3 linked regions of the Tribolium castaneum genome follow. The protein of the gene in region 3 interacts with the protein of the main gene of each other region in a pairwise test. Links are inferred from orthologs where the notes say so. Each region holds a gene or a part of one and is shown on either strand. Other genes may lie near its edges. The genes, in order: Pfdn2, Pfdn5 and prefoldin subunit 3.

Region 1 (2,839 bases), about 1.7 Mb from region 3:
GCGTTTACAGATACAGTTTTTCTCTGCTTTTCTTACGGAACATAGCTGGTTTAAGGCCTCGTTGTGGTAAAATAATAAAGAAAAAACAAGAAGGAAACTAAACTTAAACATTGTCTCACTAGAACAAGAGGAAAATCTTTTATCAGTTAACTTATCATGATGTTTTTTCTAAACTGAGTCACTTCACATACTGACTACTGATATCTAGAGCAAATAGGATTTAATAAATGATTGGTTTATTATTTACTATCTATCTTTTTTTTATCTTAGATAATACTTATATTGTAATTTAATTATATAATTAAACCAGTTTTTTTTAATGTGGTGAATATTAAGTGCTTTAATTTATTAAAACTTATTAAGGCTTTCATTTGAATTTTTTAGAGAAATAATTTAAAGTCATGGTTAGGCAACCAATAATACAGCCACAAAAAACGAAAGAAATTTAATTGTTTTTTTTTGTTGAATATGCAATTGAGATTATAATTTATTGGTGCTTACGTAATTCGTCATTGGGTAATGGGGGTAAATTAATAAAAAACCACTTACAAATTAAATTTTTATTCGGATGAAATATGTTACATTACCTTGCAAAAAACCAGCACAGCTCTCATAGAAAAAGATGAATTTGTTAAATGCCGACCAAATTCGAATGAAATACATAAAATAAATATTCTACAAAAGAAAAATCCTAGCTTAGGTGTAAATAAAAAAAGCACATGCATATTTAAGACACTAAAACATTTCCTCTACTCTCTGAAGCCGCCACTTGCTCCTCCTGTTTCGGGGCCGGATTATCCAACCCTCTAAAGCTAATGTTATACTTTTCCCTGTATTCATTAATCTCCACACCTTTCTTCGTGATTTGTTCTTTCAACTTTTCAATAAGTTCTTTGAGTTTCTCCAAATTCGCAACAAGTGCCGGAAGAACGTCCTTCACTTTTCGCTCAGTTAAAACCCCCCCGACTAGTCGGAAGCAACGCCGGTCTTCGTTCACGTTTTGTAAAGTGGCGATGACCATTCTGTAAAAGCGAGGTTATGTAACATTTTACAAAAAAACCGGCAACCACGAAAAAAATTTCATTTCAAAAATGAAAATTTACTCAATTTTGAGTAATTTGCCGTGGGTTTCGCCGCCACAGCCCCACGTTTGGGGCCACAACCGGGCCGGAAACTTACTTGTGTTCGTTGGAATCGGCTTCGAATTCCGTCAGTTTTGATGAAAGGGTGCGCTGCTCGGCCCTTAGCGCTTGAAAGCCGTTCAGGATCTCCTCGGGCGTGAGCCCTTTGGACGATTTCTTTTTCGAATCACTTGCCATTTTTGGTAAACATAAATCCGGAATTTGAGAAATGTCACTTTGTCATGGTCACGTGACGCAGCCACATGATGTAAACCTGGCGGAAAGAAAAAACCAAGCGCGTTTTTGCCAATTTTGCGATAACCAGACAATGTGGATTTTTTTTCAATTGAAATTTATCTTCCCGGGTCTAGACTACGTCTATTTTTTTCCTCGTCTCGGTTTCTTTGACTGAAATTCATTGGAAGGAATTGCTCTATTTAGTGTTTTTAGTCATTTTTGGTTTACACGGTAGCCATGTTGCAGCCATAATTTATGGGGCAATTAAATTGCTCCTAAACGTAGGCGTTTACATTTTATAAACTCCGATTTAGTTTTCAGTAAATTTTGAATAAATTTGAATAAAAAAGCATGTGTGGAGTGTCGGAGGGAATTGGTTACGTGTGTGGGGAAAAAACGGTGCGTGTTCCAAGTGCCGTTTGAGAAAAATGATCCAGTTTTATTAGAAAAACGCACACAAGCCGCCGCACTAATTTAAATGCAATTTGTAAACGATTTACGCAACTCTTACGAAACAAATCCCAAGAAAATGCATTCCTCCTGAGCGAAACGAACCCCGGAAGTGGCCTAAGGCTCCAAATAACGGAAATTGTTTGGATTTTTTATGCACAAATACATGTTTACGAAATGTCATCAACGTGAGGAGTCATTGAACTTATTAGTGAAATAATCAGGATTTTTGACGAGAATTCCCGCAAAAGTGTTGATAAAGAACCACTCATGACAGTTTCTTGCAAAAAAAATCCGGCTTTTGGGAAAATACATGGGCAACGAAACTGGACGAGATATGGAGACTGAATCCATAAAATCGGAAAACAGTTCACGATCGAGACGTTCACGGGGGCACCGCGACCGCAACAACTACCGACAGCACTCCCACAGAAGCACCAGGTTCGTGCCCAAACAATTCTGGACCATCTTGAAAGTAATTTTTTTACAGAAGCTCCAAGTCTCGCAAAAACGACGAGATGGCGCCCTTCCAGACGGCCGTGACCCTCACCCCCGACAACCGCGACGGCCAGGAGGTCATCGAGGTGCAAATCCTGCCCCAGGACGACAACTGGGGCGAGAACACCACTGCCATCACCGGGAACACGTCCGAGCAGTCCCAGTCGACCGAAGACGTCAGTAACTGGCCCGGTGAACCTGACACCGGGCTCTCCTTCGTCTGCCAAAGATACATGGGGACGGTGCTAACGTACATCCTTTCAATAGTTGCCTTCTTGAGCCCCTTAGCCATGGTCGTATTGCCAAAACTGGGGTTCTTCCCTGCGCTGTCCTCGCGGCTGGGACTCGCAGACAGCGCGAAATTGTTAGCTTGCGGGGCCGAATGTAAAGGCCAGTTGGTGTCGTTGGCGTTCAAAATGGCCATTTTGGCGGTCGGGGCCTGGGCTGTGTTCTTGCGCAAGCCGAATGCGACCTTGCCAAGGTTTTTCCTGTTTCGGGCGGCTGTCCTAGCCTTTGTTTTAGTCTGTATTTTC
Region 2 (2,673 bases), on a different chromosome or scaffold from region 3:
GTTTTTTTGAAAATTATTGGATTTGCACCTGACACTTAAAAAATTCGGTAGCTTTTTTAGTTTGAGAAATTTCGAAATTATCTTTGAAGAATTAAAAGAGAAAGCCTATAAAATCTGTTTTCTAATGTGTTCAAAATTGGAAAAGAAGTGTAAAAAACCCAAAATTTTAAAGTTAAGTTTGTACAACTTCAAGTACCCATAACTTATATTAATATCCTAATTTTTATTTTACTAGATGGAGGAGAATATTTTTCTTTATCGATCTATATTAGCATTTCCTATAACCATCTATTATAAATACAGGCTAATCCAGAAATACTGAGACTGTTGGCAACATTGAATTTAAATTTTATAGAATACCATTGGAGTACGCTTCCAGTTAACAACAATTCAACAATCTTGTGGTATTGTATGTTAAATAATTGTCAAAAGTAATCGAATTCGGTTGCAGTCTTGCAAATTACGAGCCATTGTTGCCAACAAACTCAGTTTTTGTGGATCAGTGTGTAATATTCTCAGTGATAGTCCAAAACTAGCTGTATATTTGGTTGCCTATCCGGCAACAAATTTTGACCAAAATTGATTAATACAAAATGTAGACAATTCCCGAATAAGTCAGGAACATAAAATCAAATAAAGTGGAGGTTAATTTATCTTTTTATTATTAGGTAAACATTTAAACACAGTTATAAATAAATCATGTACAAAATTAAACTCAATTCTGTTGCTGTTGCAGCTTTAATTCCACAATTTCCACAATAGCATCTCTAATTTTGCTTTTTTCCAACCCCAAAATTTGAATTTTCTCCATCTGTTCTGTCACAAACTGAATTTTCCGCTTAAAGTAATCTTTAGCAGCATCAATATCCTAAAAAATTCAATCATTAACACACAATTTCAACATCAACATTGCTGCACCTTTTCTGCATAATATCTGGTTCCGATATCGATCAACACATTGTTGGTCTCGTGCAACTTTCCAGGCACGTACATCTTAAAAAAAAACTTTCATTAAAGTTCGTAAATATTACTCAAATTACCGATCCTGTTAACGGCACTAAAATCTCTTTTCCATCCGAATCGGGGCCAACTTTCTCCAGAGACTCTCCGGAGTTTTGAAATTTCGTCTGTGCCATTTTGAGGGACGCAAGAGATTCTTGAAAGAGCGACAATTCCTGGAAAAAGAGCAGTTTTTAGAATCATGTGCAAGGTTTGAGGTTAGGGCACATACCTGGTCTAACTGTTGCTTTAACGTTGATAACTGCTGGATATTTAGCGTCATCAGATCCACTTGCTTCATATTAGGCTGTTCTGTGGACGAAATTTGAGCCATTTTTCTAATAAATTAATAACTAATAAATGGACAAACAAGGTAGTGTCAAATAGCAATGGAGTAGAGACAAATTGCACTGTTTGAATGAACTACTCGTCGAAAGACAATGCTGTGTCTTTCATACAAGCACTGCTTTGCATTATTTTTTTAAAATTGTTTCCAGTTAAATAAATCTGTATACGTTTCGTATTTATTGGTACATATTAAAAAAATTAACAGCAAGTAGTTCCAATTTAGATACATTTAGTAGATAAATTGCATCTATTGGACTTTCTTGATTGGTGATTTTGTAATAACGTTTTTTGAACTTGATGTTTGTACACTTCAGTCAGTTTTATGATTTAATTGTGTTTTTAATAAGTTGAGAAGTCTTTTGAACAATGTACCGACGGTCAAACAGCAGCTCCCAACTTCCAGTCCCCAATAGGTCACGCTCAAAGTCTTCTGTCAGCAGGTAAAATAATGTAAACTTGTAGTACCTAATTTAGGTCCTGGTTTATTAAAAAAGTAAAAAATTACCAAAAGTACCCTTCTCCTAAATTCCTTCTTCAAGAAATTCAAATGAAATTATTGGCTCTAATTTGTTTTAAAGAGTTAGTGCAAAAGATGACAATGCAAAAAGGTTCAGGGCGAATTCCATGGACCGAACCTTAAATCCGCCCTTGAAAAGATCAACAAGTTCGTCAAATTTGAGAAGACCTTCGGTTACTCCATCAGTTAGGTTTTGTTTTGTTTCGAGAACTTTATCACTCTAATGCTGATTGTAGGTTTCTTATAAAAAATCAACGGTCATTACTCCGACTCTGGTAAAACAGTAAATACAATTGACATAACGTTAAACACCTATTTATTTCAGAATTCTGGGTTAAAACGATCAAATTCTGTAAGTGTTTTAAGTACGGATATCTAAAGATTAGGATACGAAACGATGTACATACAAATAAAACGTTCCCGTTTTTAATGGTTCCGCTAATGTCGCCAGAGGGCGCAGTTAAAAAAGTTTTCTCTCTTAATACGCAACAGAATTTCAAATACAGACTGATCCAGAAAAACTGAGTCTATTGGCAACACATTTGAAAGTATTTGTGCTCGTAATTTGTAACATTGCAACCGAATTCGATTTTTCTTGACAATTATTTGACGTCCAACTCCACAAGAATGTTAAATTCTTGTTAACTTGAAGCGTACTTCATTGGTATCCTTAAAAATTTAAGTCCAGTGTTGCCAACAGACTCAGTATTTCTGGATCAGTCTGTATTATGTGTACATCATATTAAAGGTTTTTTAATTCTACAGGCTAATGCGTTGAAAAAGTAAACTCCTTTAAGAAAAGGTTTAAT
Region 3 (2,840 bases):
AGTGACTATTGCACAATGTTTTGCCAGGAGTTTGATTTTTTTATTTAGGTACATTCGGGACCGCTTGGCCATGCAAGCAGGGATCGAGACCTTCGCTCAAATGAAAACGAAGATAGATGAGTACCAGGCCCGCGTTGAGGCTCTCAACCAAGAGTTGGAGGAGCTGAGGATCAGTATGGAGCCTCCAGCTCCGGCTGACGAGGAAGGCGCTCCCTTGGAGGAAGGTTTTGAGCCAACTGGGGGCGACGAGAACCCGCCGGAGGAGGCAGCGGCCGCGGCGGCGCCCTCTGAAGAGGCCCCAGCTGAACAGCCTCCAGAAAACGCCGACCAGTGATGCTCCTCTTTGCCATATTATACATTGTTTTTTATTTTTAGAATTTTATTTTTGTTCCTTTTATGAATTAATTTTTAGTTTGTTTTAGAATTGTGAAATTTTAAGACTTTAGTCGGTCTTCACATTGTACTTAACTCAACCTGTAAATTAATTCAGGTGATGCCTTAACTACCATTTTTGAGAAGCACTTTTATGTTCGTATATTGAATATTATGTGGACTGTTATTTGCAGTATTATTTTTTCATTTATAAAATTTTATGCACTTGGCAAAAGAAGTTTGAAGAAACAGTCTGTGTTTATTAGCAATTAAAGTTATTTCCTTATTAGAAATAGTTTTATTCACAGAAACGGGTTAAATAAAAGCTAAGTTATTAAATGCTCAAGCTGGAAGTAACATGTGATTTACATGCACTGTAAAAGTGCGAGCGCGAAAATATATTTTGCAAAACTGGACGATATAAAGCAGCAGTGACAGATCTTGTAACAAAATTAAAACAGTGCTAAATGGTCACTTGGAGCCTCATTTTGCCGCTGCTTTCGCAGCTTGGCGTCTCTTCACGTCCCAGTTGAACACTCTCGCCATATTGACCTCGGTTGTCGTAAACTGATCCCTGAAAATTGACTCAGCCTAAAGTAAACCCCAACAAAGCGTTACCTCAAAAAGTCGAGATCGTGTTCCACATATTTTAAATTCTTAGTAGCTGCAGCAATATTCTGCGTGAGCAGCTCCTGAGCATCTTTTAAACTATATTCAAGCATGACATTGGCCCCCAGCCACAGGAACACCGTCTCAGTTGGTGGCACTTTAGCTTTGGCGAAAACCTGTTCGCTGAGCAAAAACTGAGTCTCGAATTCGTTTTTCTGTTCGCCTAGTTTCTCAATCATCGTTAACGAACGCTTCAGCTCGGGGACTTGGTTCTGGAGCCGTTTTTTCTTCGACAATAAATTATATTCCATAAACTTATACTTGGCATGTTGGTTATCTAATTTTTTCAACACTTCTTCCACGTTTTTGTTGTTTTCGGGCCGCGCCATGTACGCATCCACATCTTCCTGAGACAGGAAAAATCATAAGGTCGGGATTGAGGTTACGTTTTTTCGAAAAACATGTGGACGGGGTTTCGACACTTACGACAAATTCGGCTTCGGGGATTCCAGCGTAGGACTTTTTGTCTCCCAGTTCTGTGTTATTTTCCGATTCTGACTGTTCCATTCTAGTTTTTGCAAAATTTACCCACTCCACCGACTAAACAATTGAAAGTTTGGTGGTTTTTATTTTATCAATTCGTTGCGTTGGTAGCCACCACTCTATTATGTGGGGTTAGGAAATTTAATAATTTTTTGAAAAATGAGTTAAAAACTTAAAAATGGACTTGATTTTTGGCTTAATGACAATAGCGGCGATTTACTTATGGGTTCTCTTCATGGACAGGTTTTTTAAAGTAAGTCGGAACACGTTTAGTGCCCTTAAAAACCACAATTTTAGTCATGTTCTCATTACGGATACATCCAATTTCTTAAAGGAACGGGCCTGGAGATCAAATTGTTCCAGTTTTCGTGGACCACGACAGCCTTTAATAAATTGCTGCTTAAGTGGGGCAGTCACAACACGAAATTTCTTAATTTGTGGTTTAATTTGGGGCTATGTGTGAGTTTAGTTTTGCTGCCTGCTTCGATCTACCTATTGTTAGTGGCTTTCTTCCAAAACTTTTTGTCTTCGGCAAGTGGCGAGGAAAGCATAATTCAGCCGGTAGTCCCGGGAATAAACCTTCCAGCATCCGAAATGGGTTACTACAGTTTAACTTTGCTAATCAGTTCGGTTTTGCACGAGCTAGGCCATGCGTTAGGGGCTGTGCAAGAAGACGTAAATGTGATCAATGTGGGCGCCAACGTAATTTTTATTTTGCCAGTGGCTTACGTTAACTTAAATTCCGACAAATTATTTTCTCTAAATCCTTGGAAAAGACTCAAGATTTTGTGCGCCGGAGTTTGGCACAACTTGCTAATTGCACTCGTAGCTTACTTACTCTACACTTCTCTACCGTCCGTTTTTTCACCGTTTTTCAACTTTGGTAAAGGAGTTGTGGTAACGGAATTTGAGGCAAAATCGCCAATTTTCGGAAATAGGGGTTTAAATGTTGGCGATTTAATTTTGAAAATTAATGATTGTGAGGTGGACGATGAAAATGCGTGGTACAAATGTTTAGTGGCTTTACGCACAAAAAAGCCCGCGTTTTGTATTGAGGGCGACGTTGTGCGCGATCTGGATGAGAGCGTTCATTTGAAACACTCCGAAAGTGGGATTGTAAGCTGCTGCCATTCAGAGAATAAAGGCAAATTGTGTTTTGAGTACTTGGATAGTAAAGACAGCATTTTGGAGCTGCCCCCTTACGCCTGTTTGCCTGGAAGACCTGCGATCGAAGCCTCGACAAATTTCTGCATATCTGACCCCCATGTTTGCCCCAAAGATACTTATTGTTTCAGACCGATTTTAACGAATAACAC

What was found.
Region 1: the proteins of prefoldin subunit 3 (region 3) and Pfdn2 interact in binary tests that used the Drosophila melanogaster proteins (3 or more experiments, as listed by UniProt). The link is inferred for Tribolium castaneum from reciprocal best matches to the Drosophila melanogaster genes mgr and Pfdn2.
Region 2: the proteins of prefoldin subunit 3 (region 3) and Pfdn5 interact in binary tests that used the Drosophila melanogaster proteins (3 or more experiments, as listed by UniProt). The link is inferred for Tribolium castaneum from reciprocal best matches to the Drosophila melanogaster genes mgr and Pfdn5.

What each region holds. Positions count from the first base shown.
Region 1 is NC_087397.1:2,599,111-2,601,949, reverse strand, and holds Pfdn2 (prefoldin subunit 2), read right to left. Parts: upstream 1,397-2,839; 5' UTR 1,320-1,396; coding exon 1,180-1,319; intron 1,023-1,179; coding exon 728-1,022; 3' UTR 546-727; downstream 1-545. Other genes in the region: chondroadherin, read right to left, coding at 1-111; Vang (van-gogh), read left to right, coding at 2,146-2,249, 2,299-2,839. UniProt on the Drosophila melanogaster protein: Binds specifically to cytosolic chaperonin (c-CPN) and transfers target proteins to it. Binds to nascent polypeptide chain and promotes folding in an environment in which there are many competing pathways for nonnative proteins.
Region 2 is NC_087400.1:9,621,976-9,624,648, reverse strand, and holds Pfdn5 (prefoldin subunit 5), read right to left. Parts: upstream 1,413-2,673; 5' UTR 1,334-1,412; coding exon 1,232-1,333; intron 1,176-1,231; coding exon 1,041-1,175; intron 994-1,040; coding exon 919-993; intron 869-918; coding exon 716-868; 3' UTR 640-715; downstream 1-639. Other genes in the region: uncharacterized protein LOC103314387, read left to right, coding at 1,714-1,787, 1,926-2,049, 2,101-2,139, 2,190-2,216. UniProt on the Drosophila melanogaster protein: Binds specifically to cytosolic chaperonin (c-CPN) and transfers target proteins to it. Binds to nascent polypeptide chain and promotes folding in an environment in which there are many competing pathways for nonnative proteins.
Region 3 is NC_087397.1:4,273,385-4,276,224, forward strand, and holds prefoldin subunit 3, read right to left. Parts: upstream 1,609-2,840; 5' UTR 1,549-1,608; coding exon 1,468-1,548; intron 1,389-1,467; coding exon 991-1,388; intron 947-990; coding exon 856-946; 3' UTR 648-855; downstream 1-647. Other genes in the region: c-Myc-binding protein homolog, read left to right, coding at 1-1, 49-334; S2P (membrane-bound transcription factor site-2 protease), read left to right, coding at 1,703-1,777, 1,822-2,840. UniProt on the Drosophila melanogaster protein: Binds specifically to cytosolic chaperonin (c-CPN) and transfers target proteins to it. Binds to nascent polypeptide chain and promotes folding in an environment in which there are many competing pathways for nonnative proteins.